3 linked regions of the Anolis sagrei genome follow. The protein of the gene in region 1 purifies or fractionates together with the protein of each later gene. This does not show direct contact. Links are inferred from orthologs where the notes say so. Each region holds a gene or a part of one and is shown in the gene's direction. Other genes may lie near its edges. The genes, in order: RHOC, RAP1GDS1 and DAAM1.

Evidence for each region.
Region 2: the proteins of RHOC (region 1) and RAP1GDS1 purify together in Homo sapiens (co-immunoprecipitation; 3 studies listed by BioGRID and IntAct, counting the BioPlex papers as one, with this or other methods). This does not show direct contact. The link is inferred for Anolis sagrei from reciprocal best matches to the Homo sapiens genes RHOC and RAP1GDS1.
Region 3: the proteins of RHOC (region 1) and DAAM1 purify together in Homo sapiens (affinity purification with mass spectrometry; 3 studies listed by BioGRID and IntAct, counting the BioPlex papers as one, with this or other methods). This does not show direct contact. The link is inferred for Anolis sagrei from reciprocal best matches to the Homo sapiens genes RHOC and DAAM1.

Annotation. Positions count from the first base shown.
Region 1 is NC_090024.1:200,860,330-200,868,174, reverse strand, and holds the start of RHOC (rho-related GTP-binding protein RhoC), read left to right. Parts: upstream 1-4,770; 5' UTR 4,771-4,875; intron 4,876-7,845. UniProt on the Homo sapiens protein: Regulates a signal transduction pathway linking plasma membrane receptors to the assembly of focal adhesions and actin stress fibers.
Region 2 is NC_090025.1:25,786,694-25,793,694, forward strand, and holds the start of RAP1GDS1 (rap1 GTPase-GDP dissociation stimulator 1), read left to right. Parts: upstream 1-3,908; 5' UTR 3,909-4,159; coding exon 4,160-4,163; intron 4,164-7,001. UniProt on the Homo sapiens protein: Acts as a GEF (guanine nucleotide exchange factor) for the Rho family of small GTP-binding proteins (G proteins) that stimulates the dissociation of GDP to enable subsequent binding of GTP.
Region 3 is NC_090021.1:333,954,525-333,962,310, reverse strand, and holds the start of DAAM1 (disheveled-associated activator of morphogenesis 1), read left to right. Parts: upstream 1-4,784; 5' UTR 4,785-5,044; intron 5,045-7,786. UniProt on the Homo sapiens protein: Binds to disheveled (Dvl) and Rho, and mediates Wnt-induced Dvl-Rho complex formation. May play a role as a scaffolding protein to recruit Rho-GDP and Rho-GEF, thereby enhancing Rho-GTP formation. Can direct nucleation and elongation of new actin filaments.

The DNA of each region.
Region 1 (7,845 bases):
GAAGAAGAAGAACCAGTGTCTGAAATCTTTTTATAAACAGCAACAGCTTTGAGGTTTGTCTGGGTTGAAGCCAAGGGCCTTGTGGGGCCTTTCTTTCCAGCCTCATTCACAGGAGTTCCAGCCTATTGCTGGAAGTAAGATCAGCTTTGCTTTCCCAAATCCCCGTGTGAAACAGAATGAGAAAGCCTTTCATCCAGATTTAGGAAGCTGGTGTGCCTGGTTTGTTACAAGCCGTGTGTACTGCAAATCTCTGTCTCACTTTTCTTCTTTCTTGTTTTTCTTTTTTGGGTTCTTGCATTTTTGAGGGGTGGTAGTTGTAGTTGTTTTGTCTTTAGTTTTTACTACAAGATTATATCTGGAATTTTCCTGTTGGTAGCTTTGGCATTAAGCCAGTTAGACCAGTTTAAGCCACTTAAAAATCCATACTATTGGCTCTTCAGGCAGGTTAAGGATATCAAGAAGCTGAGGTATTTATTGCTGTAGTCTCTCTCTCTCTCTCTCTTTAATCTAAACAAGATTTCTATTGAGCCCTGGCAGTTTCTGGCACTGACTCCAACGTTTTATTTCTTTTCTCCAGTTGGTTTGATTTAAATTGCAAGGCATATTGAAATAAACCAGTATGCTTTGTTCTCTGAGTGTGCTTGTGAATGTCCACCCTCCCTTTATCTTGACAAAGCACTAGTAGGTTAGTGAAATGGAACCTCGGCTCAATAGCACTATAACTGTAAAAACTACACTTAAAAATCAGGGAGGAGAAAAATTGCCACTTTCATCATACCAAACCACTTTGAGTCTTTGAGGTGCTTGCTGAGAGAAAAAGTATAAATAAACACAAACATAATAATAATAATAATAATAATAATAATAATAATAATGGGTTGCTGTGAGTTTTCTGGGATGTATGGCTATGTTCCAGAAGCATTCTCTCCTGATGTTTTGCCCACATCAATGGCAGGCATCCTCAGAGGTTGTGAGGTCTGTTGGAAACTAGGAAAATTGGGTTTATATATCTGTAGAATCTCCAGGGAAGAAGAAGTAACTCTTGTCCGCTTGAGGCAGATATGAATTTTGCAAACGGCCACCTTGATTAGCATTGAATGGCCTTGCAGCTTCAAAGCCTGGCTGCTTCCTGCCTGGGGGAATCCTTTGTTTGAGGCAAGTGTGAATTGCAAAGTTTAAAAAAGACAAAAGTTCTTTTTTCCACCCTGGACATTCCACAGATATATATTCCTCACCTGCCTAGTTTCCAACAGACCTCACAATCTCTGAGGATGCCTGCCATAGATGTGGGCAAAACATCAGGAGAGAATGCTTCTGGAACATGGCCGTACAGCCAGGAAAACTCACAGCAACCCAGTGATTCCGGTCTTTGACAACAAAATAATAATACACAGCATTAAAAATTCTTAGGAAAGACTTTTGTGAAATCCAGGAAATCAATAGAAGCATCCCTCTAAAATGATGGCATGAGCAGAGGTGAAGATGCCAAGAACTCACAAAGCTCTGTAAGCTATATTACAAAGTCATGCTTTAATCCAAACCAGAATTGCCCAATATTGGCCTTCCCAAGCAGCCACTACTTGTCCAAGGATATATATGTTAAACTGAGCCAGACAGAATCAGGAGTTTTCAGGCACACACCTTGTTTAATTCATTTCCGTACATGTGGTCCAGTATAAACAGGATGTGGAAAGTTAAAGAAATATAAATTTGTGTTGCAGATTTGTGTATTGCGGTGCACTTCAGATACTGTGTATGATGCTCCTCCAAGTGTATTCTTCCTTGGCAAGCAATAGAGGTAAATTGAAATTCTACTCCTCTTAATCTAAAGCAGATGCCTAATCCTTTTCTTTCTTCTGATCATCAATTAATCAGTCAATGACAATGTCTGTCTCTCGATAAAAAAGACTTGGCATATGACAGGCAAGTCTAGGCTGGTCCGATTATCCACCCAACAGAGCAGAGCCAAAATCTTGCCCTGAACTTGAACTTCTTAAATAAATCAGGATATTGCCAATTCCTGCCCATAGTAGCTACTTGGGTACTACATAGAAAACATACATGATCATGACACCTCCTAATGGTATATTTATTTACTATTTCTTTTTATATCATTATCACGTCTTCATTAGGATTTCTGGTCGCTTCTGGTTGCTGCTCTTGCGTTTTGTTACTCTGCCGATGAGTACACATGCCAAGTGTGGAACACTTCTCACTACAAAACAGTGGATGTGGCTCTTAATGAGATATGCCGCATATCACACCAATGGAAAAATTATACTGTTCAGCTGGTATTGCACCACCTGACATCTGCAGGGAAGAGGCAACCAATAATGAAAGAATCAAGGCAGTGACATTTCTGACCCACCCCCTGTTTGGATATCAGTCAGCACGCCAATGCCTTAAATTAAGATATAGTTTTCTAAGATCTACAGAGATACTCTCAGGAACACCTCAGCAAGCAAGAGTTCAAAAGTGGCAGGCTAAAACCCGGAACCTCAACCCATGGCTGATAATGAATGAGAGACTCCCCACTGGGCACACAGAAGACTGGGTGACTTGGAAGGCGCTGAACAGACTGCGTTCTGGCACCATGAGATGCAGAGCCAACCTTAAGAAATGGGGCCCCAAAGTGGAGTCCATGAAATGTGAGTGTGGAGAAGAGCAAACCACAGACCACCTATTACAATGCAGTCTGAGATTGCAAAGTTGGTGCCAGGTGAGTCTTTTTATGGAGGATATTCCATGGAAGCATTACCACGTGCAAAAAAGGGGCTTGTTTCTGTTAAATACAGACTCCTGATATTAAATATTTGACCTAAATCTAATCGCTGCTCCCAATTCACATCAGGAGAGAATGCTTCTGGAACATGGCCAGACAGCCCAGAAAACTCACAGCAACCCAATGGAGTAATGGATCCAAATGGCAAGAGAAGAGATTCCAGTAAGAATTCCCTGAAGCTAAGAACTGAGGAGGGAATCTCCCTCTCTGGAGGTTTTCAAGCAGAGGCTGGATGGGCATCTGCTGAGAGGGCTTTGAATGTGTTTTTCCTGCATGGCAGGGGGTTGGACTGGTTGGCCCTTGGGGGTCTCTTCCAACTATGATCCTATATTGTCTCCCCTCTCCTCTCCATCTCTCTCTCTCCTCTTAGGACAGTGTTGCTCAACCTGGTGGTCGGGACTCCTGAGGGTTCACGAGGGGGTGTCAGAGGGGTCGGCAAAGATTATCAGAAAACACAGTATATTCTGTTGATCATGGGGGTTCTGTGTGGGAAGTTTGACCCAATTCTATCGCTGGTGGGGTTCATAATGCTTTTTGATTGTAGGTGAACTATAAAGCTTAACAACTGCAACTCCCAAATGCCAAGGTCTATTTTCCCCAAACTTCACCTGTGTTCACATTTGGACATATTGAGTATTTGTGCCAAGTTTGGTCTAGAGCCATCATTATTTGAGTCCACAGTGCTCTCTGGATGTAGGTGAACTACAACTCCAAAACTCAAGGTCAATGCCCACCAAATCTTTCCAGTATTTTCTGTTAGTCATGAGAATTCGGTGTGCCAAGTTTGGTCCAATTCCATCGTTGGTTGAGTTCAGAATGCTCTTTGATTGTAGGTGAACTATAAATCCCAGCAACTGCAACTTCCAAATGTCAAGGTTTATTTTCCCCAAATTTCACTGGTGCTCACATTTGGGCATATTGAGTATTTGTGCCAAGTTTTGTCCAGATCCATCATTGTTTGAGTCCACAGAGCTCTCTGTATGTAGGTGAACTACAATTCCAAAACTCAAGGTCAATGCCCACCAAACCTTTCCAGTATTTTCTGTTGGTCATGGAGTTCTGTGTGCCAAGTTTGGTCCAATTCCATTGTTACTGGAGTCAGAATGCTCTGATTGTAGGTGAACTATAAATTTCCGCAACTGCAACTCCCATATGCCAAGGTCTATTTTCTCTAAACTTCACCAGTATTCACATTTGGGTGTCAGAGGGATTGCCAAAGACCATCAAGGAACACAGCATTTTCTGTTGATCATGGGGGTTCTGTGTGGGAAGTTTGGCCCAACTCTAGCATTGGTAGGGTTCGAAATGCTATTTGTTTATAGCATACATCCCAGCAACAGCAACTACCAAATGTGCCAAGTTTGGTTCAGTTCCATCCCAGCAACTACAACTTCCAAATGTCAAGGTCTATTTTCCCCAAACCCCATGACCCCAAACCCCATATTGAGTATTCACGCTAAGTTTGGTCCAGATCCATCATTGTTTGAATCCACAGTGCTCTCTGGATGTAGGTGAACTACAACTCCCAAACACAATGCCCATCAAATCCTTCCAGTATTTTCTCTTGCTCATGCGGGTTCTGTGTGTGAAGTTTGGTCCAATTCCATCCATGGTGGGGTTCAGAATACTCTTTGACTGTAGGTGAACTATCAATCCCAGGAACTACAACTCCCAAATGACAAAATCAATCTTCCCCCAACCCCACCAATATTCAAATTTGGGCGTATCGGGTATTTGTGCCAAATTTGGTCCAGTGACTGAAAATACATCCTGCCTATCAGAGATTTATAATATGCTTCAGAACAGGAGCAACATGACAGTTCTGAAGTAGGAAGGAAAATCATGTTGTGGTCGGGGGTCAACACAACACAGCATGAGGGACTGTCTGAAGGGGTGGCGCCATTAGGAAGGTCGAGGAGGGCCACTGCCTTAGGCGAAGGGCTCCCCAAACTCCTCTCGGGGGCAGGACAGCGACGCCCTCCTCGGCCCCAGCCCCTCCTTCGAGGCGGGGCCAAGCCTTGGGTCAGTCGTCCGGAGTTTCCGCCTCTCTCTTCGGGTCGAGTCGGACGGAGGGGACGGCCGCTCCCAGCAAGGTAAAGGCACCGGGTGGGGGTGGGGGTCGTATGGGGGTGGGGGAGAGAAGGCCCCGGAGGCACCTTTTGGGACCTCACCTGCTGGTGAGATCCAGAGATTACTTGGGTATCACTTCGCCAAGGGCTCTTGTCGCGCCTCAGAGACTGAGGCTGGACCCATCCACTGCCATAGAATGCAGCTCAGGGTAGTTCGAACTGCATGAGGATGATGAGAGTGATGATGATGATGATGATGCAGCTCAAACTGCATGATGATGGTGCTGGTGATGTTTATTTATACCCCGCTTTTTCTCTCCACAAAAGGAGACTCACATTAAAAGCATTCCAGTATAATGTAAAAGCCTAAAATATACTAACATTAACATGGAATGGAACATCAATGTCTTATCGAATACTTTCATGGCTGAAATCACTGGGTTGTTTTGTGTTTTCTGGGCTGTCTGGCCATGTTCCAGAAGCATTCTCTCCTGACCTTTCACTGGCATCCTCAGAGGTTGTGAGGTCTGTTGGAAGCTACGAAATTGGGGTGTATATATCTGTGGAATGCCCAGGGTGGGAGAAAGAACTCTTGTCTGTTGGAGGTAGGTGAGAATGTTTCAGTTGGCCATCTTGATTAGCATTGAATGGCCTCGCAGCTTCAAAGCCTGGCTGTTTCCAGCCTGGGGGAATCCTTTGTTGAGAGTGTTCCTGATTGTTTATTGTCTGGAATTTCCCTGTTTTTTATTTACTGTTATGATTTTAGAGTTTGTTTGCACATACATCAATGGTCTTCATTCAAAATGAGCAGTTCAGATCCTTAGAACTGATTTTAAAAGTGCTCAAAGCTATTATTTGGCAGAGTGGATCCAGCCCAAAATGGATGCAATGACTGCAAGTGCCTCATCTTCTTCTTTCGCCCTTTCACTCATTCTTTTCCTAAGAATTATTATTATTTTATTGACACAAAAGCACAGTATGTCACAGCAAATGAGATCTATATGCTGGATTTCGTATCACAAAATTACAAGTTGAACACTTCCCAAGCATCTAGGACTGTGTGATGTATTTTCAAATGATGCATGCAGATCCAAGTAAGGTGGCCTTTTGCAGTTGACAGATCGTGACTTTGTCAATGTTTATCGTATTATTATTATTATTATTATTATTATTATTATTATTATATAATGCCTCATCATCTTCTTTTGCCCTTTCATAATAATAATAATAATAATAATAATAATAATAATAAGTATGCCCTGCTTTTTCTCTCCACAAGAAGAAAGCCCTACAAATGTCATGTGGTCACCATAAGTTGACACATGACTTGAAGCACACGTGTATACACACTTATTGTATTGTGGGAGCTGTGTCTATCCTGCCTCATGCTGTGTATATGCTGTAGAATTAATGCGGTTTAACCCCACTGAGGGAGCTGCAGTGGTGCAGTGGATTAAAACACTAAGCTGCAGAACTTGCTGACCGGAAGTTCAGTGGTTTGAATCCACGGAAGGTTGGCGGTTTGAATCCTAGGAGCGGGGTGAGCTCCTGTTGTTAGCCCCAGCTTCTACCAACCTAGCAGTTTGAAAACATGCAAATGTAAGTAGATCAATAGGTGCCACTTCAGCAGGAAGGTAACAGCACTCCATGCAGTCATACTGGCCTCATGACCTTGGAGGCATCTACATACAATGCCAACTCTTCAGCTTAGAAATGGAGATGAGCACCACCCCCCAGAGTCGGACACAATTAGACTTAATGTCAAGGGGAAACCTTTACCTTTACCATAATCCCACTTTAACAGGTATGATTCAACAATATGGGATCCTCGGGGTTGGGGTTTGGTGAAACACCAGCACTCTTTGGCAGAAAAGGTGACAGACTTTTTGAAATTCTATGCATGACTCCATAGCATGGCGGTAAAGTGGTGTCAAACAGCATTTATGCCACCGTGTCAATGCATCCCCAGTGAACCAAATGGGAAGTATGCCAGTGGTGTAACTGCACAGTACATTTAAAGCAGTTTGACATCACTTTAACGGTTAGCATTCCTAATTTTTGTAACCTGATGGCATAGGAAAGCAACTACACTTTAAAATGAATGTAGTATAACAACACCTTAACTGTTCTGGCTCAATGCTATGGAATCATAAGAATTGTAGTTTGGTGAGGCACCAGCACTCTTTGGCAGAGAAGGCAAAACGACCACTCTCATGATTCTATAATACTGAGCCATGACAGTTAAAGTGGTGTCAAACTGCATTCATTCTGTAGTGTAGATGCACCTCTTATAATTCATGTAGTACTTCACCCACTCAGCTCAAGATAGAACTCGTGAGAAACAAGTGGAATGTTTTCCCGAGATACTAGAATTTGATTGTATGTAGCTTTATTTCCATCCTGCCTTTTTTCTAGAACCAAGAGGCACCTCAGCTTAAGCGGCTAAGGGGGGAAAGGAAGGGGCCTGAGGCTGTTAGGAATTGTGGGAGTTGAAGTCCAAAACACTTGGAGGGCCCAAGTTTGCCCAGGCCTGATGTAGATGCATCCAATGACCTATTGCTAGTACAGTAGGATGGGTAGAAGTTGACAAGTGGAAAGAAATTAATGATGTGGCAAGGAAGGACAACAGCCAGGGAAGAGCACATTTCACAGCGACTGCTGTTTTATTTTATTTTATTTTTAAAATGCATATCTATTCATTTGATAGTTTTTAATGCCCTTTTATATAGGCAGCTTCACATTGCAGGCCTGGTCCATGCACAGGGAGTTTCAGAATCACTGTTGATGGCATGAGAATCTGGGTTAAACCAAATGGATCAATGTTCCACCTCGGAGGTTAAGATCGTCTGGAAGGCCCTGCTCTTGGTCTCACCTCTTCCGCAGGCACTGTTGGTGAGGACAAGAGACAGGGCCTTCTTAGTGGTGGCCCTTCATCTATGGAACTCCCTCCCCAGTGAAATAAGATCAGCTCCCTCCCTCCTGACCTTTAGGAAA
Region 2 (7,001 bases), on another chromosome or scaffold:
ATTTTCATTCACTGGACCAAATTTGGCACAAATTCCTGATACGCCCCAATTTGAATACTAGTGGGGTTGGGGGGGGGGGGTTGAGTTTCTCATTTGGGAGTTGTAGTTACTGGGATTTATAGTTAACTTACAATCAAAGACCATTCTGAACTCCACCAATGACACAATTGAACCAATCTTGGCAAACAGAACTCCCACTACCAACAGAAAATACTGCAAGGGTTTGGTGGGCATTGACCTTGAGTTTTGGAGTTGTATTTAACCTACATCCAGAGAGCACTGTGAAATCAAACAATGATAGATCTGGACCAAACTTGGCACGGATACTGAATATGCCCAAATGTGAACACTGGTGGAGTTTGGGGAAAATAGACCTTGACATTTGGGAGTTGTAGTTGCTCCCAAATTCACCTACAATCAAAGAGCATTATGAACCTCACCAATGATAGAATTGGGCCAAACTTCCCACACAGAACCTCCCATGACCAACAGAAAATACTGTGTTTTCTGGTTGTCTTTGGTGACTCTTCTGACACCCCCTTTGGTGACCGTTCTGACACCCCCTTGCAGCCTAGTTTTTCAGCCCCCTTTTTTGGCTGAAAAAGTTCCCCTCGGCTGATACTCGAGACAAAGTTATTTATCACTTTACTTTGTTATTAGTATAATTTTATTACATGAATTATTTTAATATATTAATTATTATTATATTTACATTATTTTACTCTACAGTATTATTACTTTATTACAGTTATTATTTTACTCTGTTTATTAGTAGTATTATTATTTATTTACTCTTTTTATTATTACATTTATTATTTTACTTTATTTTTATTGTTACTGCATTTATAATTTTACTGTTATTACATTTCCATTATTTTACTCTATTATTATTATTATTATTATTATTGTTATTATTATTATTATTATTATCCTGACACAAAAACAAAGTATGGCACAGCAAATGAGGTATATATGCTGGATTTCATTATTATTATTATTATTATTATATTATTATTATATTATTATTTTACTCTCTTTATAGTTATTGGAGGGATACATAAGCACATTTACTCAAATTACAGTTTTATATAAATATTCAAAAACATTTAACCTACTGATGCCTCAATTAATGTAATTTTATTGATATCTATTTTTATTTTGAAATTTGCCAATAACTGCTGCATTTCCCACCTCGGCTTATACTCGAGTCAATAAGTTTTCCCAGTTTTTTGTGGTAATATTAGGTGCCTCGGCTTATATTCGGGTCGGCTTATACTCGTGTATATATGGTATGTTAATCCCACAAACGAACATTACATATAGATGTTAATGTTTTGAAATGTTTGAAATGTTTTTATGGTGTTGTTGGGCATTTAGTTGTTGCCCCTGTAAACCGCCTTGAGTCGCCTGCGGGCTGAGAAGGGCGGTATACAAATATATTAAATAAGTAAGTAAATAAATAAAATAATGCTATATAGTGAAAAACTATTTACATTTGGCAGTAATTATCTGTCCCACGCAACAAAGCTGAATGCCTAAAAATACCCAAAGTTACCGTATATACTCAAGTATAAGCCGACCCGAATATAAGCCGAGGCACCTAATTTTATCACAAAAAACTGGGAAAACGTATTGACTCAAGTATAAGCTGAAGGTAGGCAATGCAGCAGCCACTGGTAAATTTCAAAATAAAAATAGATACAATACAATTGCATTAATTGAGGCATCAGCCGGTTAAATGTTTTGAATATTTACATAAAACTATAATTTAAGATTAGACTGTGGACCTCTGATTAAATCATTATTCTAACCTTCTTCAATGTAAATGTACTTGCATATCCTTCCAATAAAAGTAGAGCAAAATAATAAGTATACTACTACTACTAATAATAATAATAGAGATAAATAATGAAAATGTAATTATAACAGTAATCTGGCCACAGTGGTCCACGCTCTTGTTACATCCCGAATAGACTACTGCAACGCACTCTACGTGGGTTTGCCCTTGAAGACTGTTCGGAAACTTCAACTGGTCCAGCGAGCGGCAGCCAGACTACTCACTGGAGCGTCATACAGGGAGCACACCACCCCCCTGCTGTGTCAGCTCCATTGGCTGCCGGTCCAGTTCCAAGCACAATTCAAGTTGCTGGTTTTGACCTACAAAACCCTATACTGTTCGGGTCCAGTGTATCTGTCCGAACGCATCTCCCTCTACATCCCACCCCGGAGTTTGTGATCATCTGGGGAGGCCCTGCTCGCGACCCCACCGCTATCACAAGTAAGGTTGGTGGGGACAAGGAGCAGGGCCTTCTCAGTGGTGGCCCCTCACCTGTGGAACTCACTCCCGGGGGAAATTAGGGCATCAACATCCCTCCTCTCCTTCAGGAGGAAAGTAAAGACGTGGTTGTGGGACCAGGCCTTTGGGCAATCTGACAAGTAGATAAGGACAATCAGACGATTAGGACTGACAAGACTGACAATGTGGAATTGGAATTTGGACTATGAGATAGCGAACGCTGACCGTCAATGAGGAGTAATTGGGTTTGTATTGGTTTTATTGTTGTAATGTTTAATTTGTTAATTGTTGCTATTTGTTTACTACTGTTATGTGATGCTGGCATCGAATTGTGCCTTTGTAAGCCGTCCTGAGTCCCGTTCGGGTTGAGAAGGGCGGGGTAGAAGTAACCATAATAAATAAAATAAAATAATAATAGAATAAAATAACAAATATAATAAAAACAATAATAAAGTAGAATGATCAATGTAACAACAACAATAACAATACATTTATTTTGTATTTCTAACAGGGTAAAATAATAAATAACCTTGACTCGAATATAAACCGAGTGGGACTTTTTCAGCTTAAAAAAAGGGCTGAAAAACTAGACCTATACTTGAGTATATACAGTAATTTAAACATGATTTTGGCCTGCATCAATAGGAGCCTAGTGTCTAGGTCCAGGGAAGTAATGCTACCCCTCTATTCTGCTCTGGTTAGACCACACCTGGAATATTGTGTCCAATTCTGGGCGCCACAATTCATGAGAGATATTGACAAGCTGGAATGTGTCCAGAGGAGGGCGACTAAAATGATCAAGGGTCTGGAGAACCAGCCCTATGAGGAGCGGCTTAAGGAGCTGGGCATGTTTAGCCTGAAGAAGAGAAGGCTGAGAGGAGATATGATAGCCATGTATAAATATGTGAGAGGAAGCCACAGGGAGGAGGGAGCAAGCTTGTTTTCTGCTTCCTTGGAGACTAGGACAAGGAACAATGGCTTCAAACTACAAGAGAGGAGATTCCATCTGAATATGAGGAAGAACTTCCTGACTGTGAGAGCCGTTCAGCAGTGGAACTCTCTGCCCCGGAGTGCGGTGGAGGCTCCATCTTTGGAAGCTTTTAAGCAGAGGCTGGATGGCCATCTGTCAGGGGTGATTTGAATGCAATATTCCTGCTTCTTGGCAGAATGGGGTTGGACTGGATGGCCCATGAGGTCTCTTCCAACTCTTTGATTCTATGATTATATTCCTGCAAAATTTTTCAATTTTTTAAAAAATCACTATTTTGAAAAGGCAGATACTAAATACTAAATTGATATGTCAATCCACATTGGGGGGTTCCACTTTTGCAAGTTGGAGTTCAATTATCACTATGTTCTCTTTAGGAGCAAGGCGGGGTCCTTCCAAGCGCAGTGGCTTTCCAGCCCTCTCATTATTATTATTATTATTCCGCCTCCTTTAAGAGAGATCAAGGCCGTGGGATCATGGGAGTGGTAGTTCAGCGGGGGCCTTTAACTCTCCTTTGGCAAAGCGCGCCGGCGCGGCTTCGGAACTACAACCCCCGTGATCCCACGGGGCAGTGAAAGTCGTGCCTGGATTCTAACAGGGTTCGGGGCCAGGAAGGAGGTGCGCGCGCAGGCTCCTCTCCGGGCGGCGCGTGCACGGGGACCCCGCACACGCCTCAGTCGCGGAGCGCGCGCCTGCTTCTCTCTCTCTCTCTCTCGCACACACACACACACAGAACCTTTTTGGCCTCTCGCGGGCCCCACCTTTCCCTTCCTTCATCCCAAGGAAAGGAGGAAGAGAGAGAGAGCTAAGGAAAGAAGGAAGGAGGGAGGGAAGCGCCTCCTCTCTCCTGTTTCATTCCTCTCTTTGGCGGAGACATGGGTAAGTCTCAATTCTGCTTCTGCGAGGAGGAAGCAGAAGTGCTGGGAGTGGGGTGGAGCCCTTGGGTGCATCTGCACTGGAGAGTTAACGCAGTTTCATGCCACTTGGGTTGGTCATGGCTCGAGGCTGTCTGTGGAGTCCTGGGAGGTCTTTTTTCTCTGCCCCCCAAAAGGTTTCATGTCATTGAGGGTGGATCCATCTGCATTGAATCCATGTGATCTGCTTTGAATCGGATTATATGTCAGTGTAGATCTGGCATGGGCCAACTTCGGCCCTCCCTCCAGGTGTTTTGGACTGCAACTCCCACAATTCCTAACAGCCGGCAGGCTGTTAGGAATTGTGGTAGTTGCAGTCCAAAACACCTGGAGGGAGGGCCGAAGTTGGCCCATGCCAGATCTACACTGACATATAATCCGATTCAAACCTGAATCCAGATTATATGACCTCAATCAGGGCTGATTAAACTGCATTCATTCTGCAGCATGGATGCACCCAAGCGTGTGAAGTTGAGTTGTGGATGCACCCATGCATGTGGACTTGATTTCAAACCTGGATTATGTGGCAGTGTAGACAGGGCTGTTAAGCTGCATTCATTCTCTCCACCCATGCAAGTGGAGTTGAGTTATGGATGCACCCACGCATGTGGAGTAGATTTCAAACCTGGATTATATAGCAGTGTAGACAAGGCTGTTAAACTACATTCATTCTCTCCACCCATGCAAGTGGAGTTGAGTTGTGGATGCACTCATGCATGTGGAGTAGATGTCAAACCTGGATTATATAGCAGTGTAGACAAGGCTGTTAAACTGCATTCATTCTCCACCCATGCATGTGGAGTTGAGTTCTTACAGTCAATGTACAGTCAATGCTGTTTCGTACCGATTTATCTGTCATGGCTCATGGAATGTCAAGGAATCCTGGGAGTTGTAGCATCACAAGGACTTTAGCCTTCCCTGCTGAAGAGTGCTGGTGCCACACCAAACTACAACTCGTAACCATTCCAGAGCATTGAGCCATGGCAGCCAAAGTGGTTTCAAACTATTGTCGAAGGCTTTCACGACCGGAATCACTGGATTGTTGTAGGTTTTTGTATGGCCATGTTCTAGAAGCATTCTCTCCTGACGTTTTGCCTGCATCTGTGGCAAGCATGCTCAGAGGTTGTGGGGATGTTTGCCACAGATGCAGGTGAAACGTCAGGAGAGAATGCTTCTAGAACATGGCCATACAACCCGAAAAACCTACAACCCGGTGGTTTCAAACTGCATTCATTTTACAGTGTAAAACATGCCTGGGCAAACTTTGATCCTCCAGGTGTTTTGTACTTCAGCTCCCACCATTCCTAACAGCCGGTTAGGACAGCACAGATGCATTTTATTATTTTCCTTTCATATTCAAATAATTGCAGAATTTAACAAAAGTTATAATTTAGACCCAAGCAAACCAGTTACTGTGTTTCAAAACACATGGATGAACTCCTAATAAAGTACAAGGGGTCTTCTTCTTACTTAGGAAGAATGGTGGGAGTTGAAGTCCAAAACAGGAATGGTGGGAGTTGAAGGAATGGTGTTAGGAATGGTGGGAGTTGAAGTCCAAAACATCTGGAGGGCCGAAGTTTGCCTGGTGGAGAGGCATCTCTGATCCAGAGTTTGGAGGAAAAAAGGATAAAGCACCTTATCAAGTTAAGTACCTGTTGTTGTTGTTGTTGTTGTTGTGTGACCTCAAGTCATTTCCCATTTTTGGCAAAACTTGTCACAAGGTTTTTCTTAGCAAGAGGAGATTTGTGTTGTTTTCCTCTGAGGCTGAGAGAGTGTGACTTGCCCAAGGTCACCTGCTGCTTGAGCAGAGGACCACCACACCCTGGTTTCCAGAGTCATCCAACACTGAAGCCTCTACACCAGTGGTTCCCAACCTGTGGGCTATAGCCCACTGCTGGGCTGCAAGACCTATAATAAGATCCGCAGCTCTAGATTATTAAATACGGTTTTCTGTGGGTTAGCAGATGGCAACTATTGGATGGTAGAGCATCTTTCTAAGGCAGTGGTTCCCTGTGGACTACCAGTGGTCCTCAAGAAGGATAATATGGTCCATGGCCTCACCATTACTACACTGTTGCCTCGAAACCACGCAGCAACAAGAGCGACTGGTTTCGAGAAACTCTTATAGTTCCGAGGCAACGGGGATGTTGGGAAAGGAGAGGCTGACTACCCATGAAAGATTACTACTACCACATCAGCTCTAGATGATTAAAAAAGGTTTTCTGTGGGCGCGCAGAGGGCGACTACTGGATGGCATTTATTCTGTATCAGAAACTAGAACTGATGTGGTCTATCCAATGCAGTTTTCTAAATCAGTGCCCCAAATAACCAAACCGAATCTAAAGTTGACCAAAGACTGATTCGTAACGCTTTTGGAACTAATGTTGGAGAGTGGCCAAAGTGGTCCCTGGTCAAAAAAAAAAAGAAAGAAAAAGGTTGAGAACCACTGCTGTATACCCAGCCTTCTCCAAAATTACTTGCCAAGTATTTGCTGCAGCTCATTGCAAGGCTTCTCTTGCATCTATTATATCCTGCTTAGATATACAGAATATCAGTTTCATCAATTACCTCTCGAAACATGTTGGCTTAGCACATCCGGATATTTCTTTGCTTTTGGGTTTCTTAAATTCTCAAGAGATCAGGTCTTTCTTCTTCGTCATGTTTTCCCACGTGATAAAGCCAACTTGCATTATACCTCTCCTGATATTTTTGTAAGCCTCCAGGCTTCTTTGTCAATGCAGGCAATTTTCAGGCTGCAGTTTTACGCAGACCTTTTTAGGAGTTTACACAGCCTAGGCCACTT
Region 3 (7,786 bases), on another chromosome or scaffold:
ATATGTATGTATTGTGTGTATGTGTATATGTGCATAAGCATGCTATGTCCGTGTGTGTGTGTATATATATATATTGTTAGGTATATATATATATTGTTAGGTCCCCCTCGATGGACTGTCACCTTGTCGTGGTGAGGGGGCTTGCGTGTTCCGATGAACCTGTGGGCACAACAACTGGAGTCGTGCACTCCCAGGAGTGGCCGCGGGGGAGGTCCCAGACCAAGCACAGTCCGAAGACCCAAAGACCTCAACGGCGGAGCAGGCGGAGGATAACATGGCACATGTTACAACGGCTGCGAAGGCGGAAGAAGGCTGCAACAGACTGAGAAGCCACGGTCATTGTGTTAAACTACATCACCAGTGGAACCTCACTCTGTGAAGTCTGTGTGTTGATCAGTTGTGCACTGACCTCCACACATTAAAAAAATCCACGCACAGGCGTCTTCCAAAGAAAATAAAAACCAACCAACCAAAGTCCCATGGCGATCAGCGAGTGGCGACGGGGGCAGGACTGTGAAATCTGGAAGCCCCTAGTCACAGACTGGCACATGGGCGGTGGGTACGGACTCAGTCGTTCTACCTCAAGGTCCGAGGCAGTTGAGTAGTTCGGCAGCTGTATCCACGACTGAGCAGCCCTATTCAGGACCCACTCTGCTCACCCCACATGGGGAGGGGGCTAGAAAAGGTGCCCCAAACATAGTCTGCCTCACTCATCCCTGACTGGACTGCCGCGTCCAGTGGGGTCACCACCCTGCGGCCAAAAAAGAAAAATGAACTTCGGTACGTGGAACGTACGGACTCTGATGGACAACAGTGGCAGTGAACGCCCCGAACGCAGAACTGCCATCATTGCAAGGGAGCTGGGACGCTTCAACATCGACATAGCAGCCCTTCAGGAGACCCGGAGAGCAGGAGAGGGACAGCTGAAAGAAGAAAAAGGAGGCTACACCTTCTTCTGGAAGGGACTGCCCAAAGAAGACCAAAGAATGCACGGAGTTGGCTTCGCCATCAGAAACGATCTGGTGAAACATCTGTCCGAAGCACCCACTGGCATCAACGAACGACTCTCAACCCTCCGAATCGATCTTGCCAAAAACCAACGGGCAACCATCATAAGTGCCTATGCACCAACACTAGATGCTGACGAAGACATCAAGGAGAAATTCTACTGTCAGCTGGACACCGTCCTATCGGGGATACCTAAGGGGGACAAAATCATCCTCCTGGGGGACTTCAATGCAAGAGTCGGGCGAGACTTCGACCTGTGGCCAGGGACCATTGGAAAAGACGGGGTTGGAAACAGTAACTCAAATGGCATCCTGCTTCTCACCAAATGTGCGGAGCACAACCTTGTCATCACCAACACGCTCTTCCGCCAGAAAAACAAGTTCAAGACATCATGGAAGCACCCCCGGTCAAAGCATTGGCACCTCTTAGACTATGTAATCACACGCGCCAGAGACCGCCGTGACGTGCTCCTCACAAGAGCCATGACAGGTGCTGACGACTGCTGGACCGACCACAGGCTAATTCGATCCTCGATGGCTATCAAGATCGCCCCCAAGCGCAGACTCCAAGGAAGGAAGACAAGGCGCAAAATGAACACCCAAGCCCTTCAGGAGCCCTCCAGACAAGCCCATCTCCAAACAGCACTCAAGGACCATCTACCCACAGAACACCCCGAAAATGTTGAGGAACATTGGAACAAACTGAAGACCTCCATCATCCAAGCCTGCGAAGAAACTATTGGATACCAAGCCAAGAAACATCAAGACTGGTTTGATGAAAATGACATCGAGATCCAACAGCTAATTGACAAGAAAAGGAAAGCCTTCCAAGCATGGCAGAGAGACATCAACTGTGCTGCTAAGAAAAAGATCTATGCCAGTGCAAAAGCTGAGGTCCAAAGAAGGACAAGAGAACTCAAGAACATCTGGTGGACAAAGAAGGCCGAAGAAATCCAACACCTGGCAGATACCCATAATGCTCAGGGATTCTTCAAAGCCACAAAGGTCATCTATGGACCAAGAAACCATGGCATACAGCCTCTACGCTCATCAGATGGAACCAAACTCCTGAAGGACCAAAACTCAATTGCACTACGTTGGAAAGAACACTACCAAAGCCTCCTGAACCGCAGCTCCAATGTGGCCGACGAGGTCCTCTCACAAATCCCACAACAACAAACCAGGGATGAGCTTGCAGCACTGCCTAGTTTGGAAGAAGTCAGCAATGCCATCAGCCAACAGAAGAATAACAAAGCCAGTGGACCAGATGGGATCCCTGCTGAAATCTTTAAAGAGGGAGGACCTGAGCTAACACACCAACTCCACCAGCTCATAGAAAAAGTGTGGGTGACCGAGAAAATCCCAGCAGATTTCAAGGACGCCACCATCATCACCCTCTTCAAAAAAGGGGAAAGAACAGACTGCGGAAACTATCGAGGTATCTCCCTTCTAACCTCCGCTGGGAAAATCCTCGCAAGAATCCTTGCAAACCGCCTTCTGCCCCTCTCAGAAGACACCCTCCCAGAATCCCAGAACGGCTTCCGCCCCTCCAGAGGAACCGTGGACATGATCTTCACTGCACGACAACTCCAAGAAAAATGCAGGGAACAAAACCAACCCCTGTACATGGCATTCATCGACCTTGCAAAGGCATTTGACACAGTGAATCGCAGCGCGCTCTGGACCATCCTCCACAAAATCGGGTGCCCTAACAAATTTGTGAACATCCTGCGGCTCCTCCACGATGACATGATGGCAACAGTTTTGGACAGCAGTGGCTCCCAAAGTGACCCATTTAAGGTGGAATCCGGTGTCAAACAGGGATGTGTTATCGCCCCAACTCTATTCTCCATCTTCATCGCTATGATACTTCACCTTGTTGATGGGAAGCTTCCCACCGGAGTGGAAATAATCTATCGGACAGATGGCAAGCTATTCAACCTCAGCAGACTGAAAGCCAAAACCAAGGTTACAACAACATCTGTTATAGAACTCCAGTATGCTGATGACAATGTCGTCTGTGCGCATTCAGAAGAAGATCTACAAGCCACTCTAAACACCTTCGCAGAAGCATACGAGAAGCTCGGCCTGTCACTGAACATTGAGAAAACCAAGGTGCTGTTCCAGCAGTCACAAGCCAATCCCTCTCCAATGCCAGAGATACAGCTTAATGGTGTCACATTAGAAAATGTGGACCATTTCCGCTACCTTGGCAGCCACCTCTCCACCAAAGTCAACATCGACGCCGAAATACAACACCGCCTGAGCTCTGCAAGTGCAGCATTTTCCAGAATGAAGCAAAGAGTGTTTGAGGACCGGGACATCCGTAGGGAGACCAAGGTGCTTGTCTATAAAGCCATTGTCCTCCCAACCCTGCTATATGCCTGTGAGACGTGGACAGTCTACAGACGTCATATGCAACTCCTGGAACGATTCCATCAGCGCTGCCTCCGGAAAATCCTGCAAATCTCCTGGGAAGACAAGCGGACAAACGTCAGTGTGCTGGAAGAAGCAAAGACCACCAGCATTGAAGCGATGGTCCTCCAACATCAACTCCGCTGGGCCGGCCACGTTGTCCGGATGCCTGACCACCGTCTCCCAAAGCAGTTGCTCTACTCCGAACTTAAGAACGGAAAACGGAACGTTGGTGGACAGGAAAAGAGATTTAAAGATGGGCTGAAAGCCAACCTTAAAAACTCTGGCATAGACACCGAGAACTGGGAAGCCCTGGCCCTTGAGCGCTCCAGCTGGAGGACAGCTGTGACCAGCAGTGCTGCAGAATTCGAGGAGGCACGAGTGGAGGGTGAAAGAGAGAAACGTGCCAGGAGGAAGGCGCGTCAAGCCAACCCCGACCGGGAACGCCTTCCACCTGGAAACCAATGCCCTCACTGCGGAAGAAGATGCAGAGCAAGAATAGGGCTCCACAGCCACCTACGGACCCACAAGGAAATCCAAAATGGAAGACCATCTTACTCGTCCAACGAGGGATCGCCTAAGTAAGTAAGTAAGTAAGTATATATTGTTAGGTGCATGTTTATGTATGTGTGTCTATGTGTGTGCATGTGTATTATGTGTGTATATATGTGTCTATGTATGAGTGTTAATGTTTTATATGTATATGTATGTGTGCATGTTTATTGTGTGTATGTGTTGTATGTGTATATGTGTCTGTGTGTGTTACATGTGTTAATGTTTTATGTGTATATATATGTATGTATTGTATGTGTATATGTGTGTGTGCATGCTATGTGCATGTGTGTGTATGTATGCATATATATATAGTTAGGTGTATATGTTTATGTATGTGTGTCTATGTGTGTGCATGTATATATGTCTGTGTATATATTTGTCAATGTATGAGTTTTAGTGTTTTATATGTATATATATGTGTGCATGTTTGTTGTGTGTATATGTGCGTGCGTGTATATATGTATGTGAATATACGTGTGTGCATATATGTGTGTACATTATGTGTGTCTATATTTGTGTGTGCAGATATTCGCACGTACTATACACTACACACACATATATATATATATATCTTGCAGATTATGCCTTGTGCAGCAACCGGCATCCAGGAAACCAGCAAGCTGCATCTGGCCAAGCAGGAGAAGGGCGGGGGAAGCTGGACCACGCGCGGCTTGCCGGGAAACGTAGTCTTTTCATCAGAGCCGACTCCCTGCGGGAAACCGATCGAGGACTCCATTTCCCGGCGAGGAGCGCGGCGGAGAGAGGGGGCGTGGCTTGCTTGGCCGGGGCGTCCAATCAGGGCGGGAGGGGATGATGTCACCCGCGGGCTTGTAAGGCTCGGCGGCGGCTTGGCCGGAGGAAGAGGAGAAGGAGAGAGAAGCCACAGAGGGAGAGAAGCCGGAGAGAGGAGAGGCAGGAGGAGGAGGCGCAGCTGGGTCCGCGGGAGGCGGGGAGGGAGGGCGAGTGAGCTGGCTCCCTTGGCGTCCCTGCGGGGCTCCGGCGAGGAGGAGAAGGAGGAGGAGAAGGAGGAGAAGAAGGATGCGCCTGGGCAGGGGCTGCGGCACCAGGTAAGCCGAGCAGAGAAGGGAGGGAGGGAGGGTGGGCGCCTCCCTCTCTCCTTCTCTCCCTCCTTCTCTCCCTCCCATTCATCCCGGATGCCGGAGGGAGAGGGAGGAAGGAAGGAAGGGGCAGAAGGGCTGGGTTGGGTTGGGGGCGTTGAGGCACCTCTCCAGCTGCTTCCCCTGCAAAGAAGGGGCTTCCTGGTTGATGCTCTTGAGGAAGAACCCTTGGTTTTGGGCAGCAGATTTGGGAAGCAGCTCTTCTTCCCTTCTCCAGTGGAGGTGGATGTCCATTGCGTCTAAAGTGTGGATGGGCTCGATCTGCATCATCTGCCTTCCGCAGTGAGGGTATCTGTTTCCAGGAAAGACTAGCGCTCCAGCTGGAGGTCAGCTGTGACCATCAGTGCTGTAGAATTGGAAGAGGCAGGAATGGAGGGCGAAAGAGAGAAACGTGCCAAGAGGAAGGCGCGTCATGCCAACCCCGGGTTCCAGGAAAGACTAGCGCTCCAGCTGGAGGTCAGCTGTGACCATCAGTGCTGTAGAATTGGAAGAGGCAGGAATGGCGGGCGAAAGAGAGAAACGTGCCAAGAGGAAGGCGCGACGCGCCTTCCTCTTGGCACGTTTCTCTCTTCCACCCTCCATTCCTGCCTCTTTGAACTCCACAGCACTGATGGTCACAGCTGACTTCTACCTCGAGCGCTCAAGGGCCAGGGCTCCCCAGTTCTCGGTGTCTATGCCAGAGTTTTAAGGTTGGCTTTGAGCCCATCTTGACGCGCCTTCCTCTTGGCACGTTTCTCTCTTTCACCCTCCATTCCTGCCTCTTCAAACTCCACAGCACTGATGGTCACAGCTGACTTCTAGCTCGAGCGCTCAAGGGCCAGGGCTTCCCAGTTCTCAGTGTCTATGCCAGAGTTTTAAGGTTGGTTGTGAGGCCATCTTGACGCGCCTTCCTCATGGCACGTTTCTCTCTCTGCCTCTTCAAACTCCACAGCACTGCTGGTCACAGCTGACTTCTAGCTGGAGCGCTCAAGAGCCAGGGCTTCCCAGTTCTCAGTGTCTATGCCAGAGTTTTTAAGGTTGGCTTTGAGCCCATTTTTAAATCTCTCTTCCTGTCCACAAACATTTCGTTTTCCGTTCTTGAGTTCGGAGTAGAGCAACTGCTTTGGGAGACGGTGGTCGGGCATCTGGACAACATGGCCAGTCCAGCAGGGTTGATGACAGAGGACCATTTGTCCGCCTGTCTTCCCAAGAGATTTGCAGGATTTTCTGGAGGCAGCGCTGATGGAATCGTTCCAGGAGTTGCATGTGACTTCTGTAGACAGTCCACATCTCGCAGGCATATAGCAGGGTTGGGAGGACAATAGCTTCATAAACAAGCACCTTGGTATCCCTACGGATGTCCCGGTCCTCAAACACTCTCTGCTTCATTTGGAAAAAAGCTGCACTCGCAGAGCTCAGGCAGTGTTGTATTTCGGTCTCAGTGTTGACTTTTGTGGAGAGGTGGCCGCCAAGGGACTGGAAATGATCAACATTTTCTAATGTTACACAATTAAGCTGTATTTCTGGTATTGGAGAGGGATTGGCTGGTGACTGCTGGAAGAGCACTTTGGTTTTCTCGATGTTCAATGACAGGCCGAGCTTCTCGTATGCTTCTGCGAAGGTGTTTAGAGTGACTTGTAGGTCTTCTTGTAGGGGAAGAAGCAACACAGTTTGGACTAGAAGCAGGCATGGATCATAGGATATAGATCAAGACTACACACACATAGGGGAGTTCCTGCTTCATTTTTGGATAGTTTTCATTCCCTGGAGCACATTTTGTTAACAGATTATTGATATTGCCGACTGAAGGGAATTAAGTGCATCAATAGGGAGATAGATCAAAGGTAGATGTTTTCCCCTGACATCAAGGCCAGTCGTGTCTGACTCTCGGGGTTGGTGATCATCTCCATTTCTAAGGCGATGAGCCGGTGTTGTCCATAGACACCTCCAAGGTCATGTGGCCGGCATGACAGCATGGAGCGCTGTTACCTTCCCACAGAAGCAGTACCTATTGATCTCGCATTTGCATGTTTTTGAACTGCTAGGTTGGCAGAAGCTGGGCCTAACAGTGGAATCTCACCCTGCTCCTGAGATTCGAACTGCCAACCTTTTGGCCAGCAATTTCAGTAGCTAAGCAGTTTAACCTGCTGCATCACCAGCAGCAGGAGGAGGGAATTAGGTGCATTGATAGGGAGATAGATCAAAGGTAAAGGTAAAGGTTTCCCAACCTTTTGGTCAGCAATTTCAGCAGCTCAGCAGTTTAACCCGCTGCGCCACCAGCAGCAGGAGAAGAGAATTAGGTGCATTGATAGGGAGATAGATAAAAGATAAAAGTTTTTCCCTGACATTCAGTCTAGTTATGTCCAATTCTGGGTGTTGGTGCGCATCTCCATTTCTAAGCCGAAGAGCCGGCGTTGTCCATGGACACCTCCAAGGTCATGTGGCCAGCATGACTGCATGGAGTGCCGTTACCTTCCTGACAGCATGGAGTACCGTTACCTTCTTGCCCGAGAAGTACCTATTGATCTACACACGTTTGCATGTTTTTGAACTGTTAGGTTAGCAGAAGCTGGGGCTAACAGTGGGAGCTCATGCCACTCCAAGGAATTGAACCTGTGACCTTTTGGTCAGCAAGTTCAGCAGCTCAGCAATTTAACCCACTGCACTCCCAGGGCACTCCATAGATCAAAGGGGAAGTGGAATTGCAGTCAT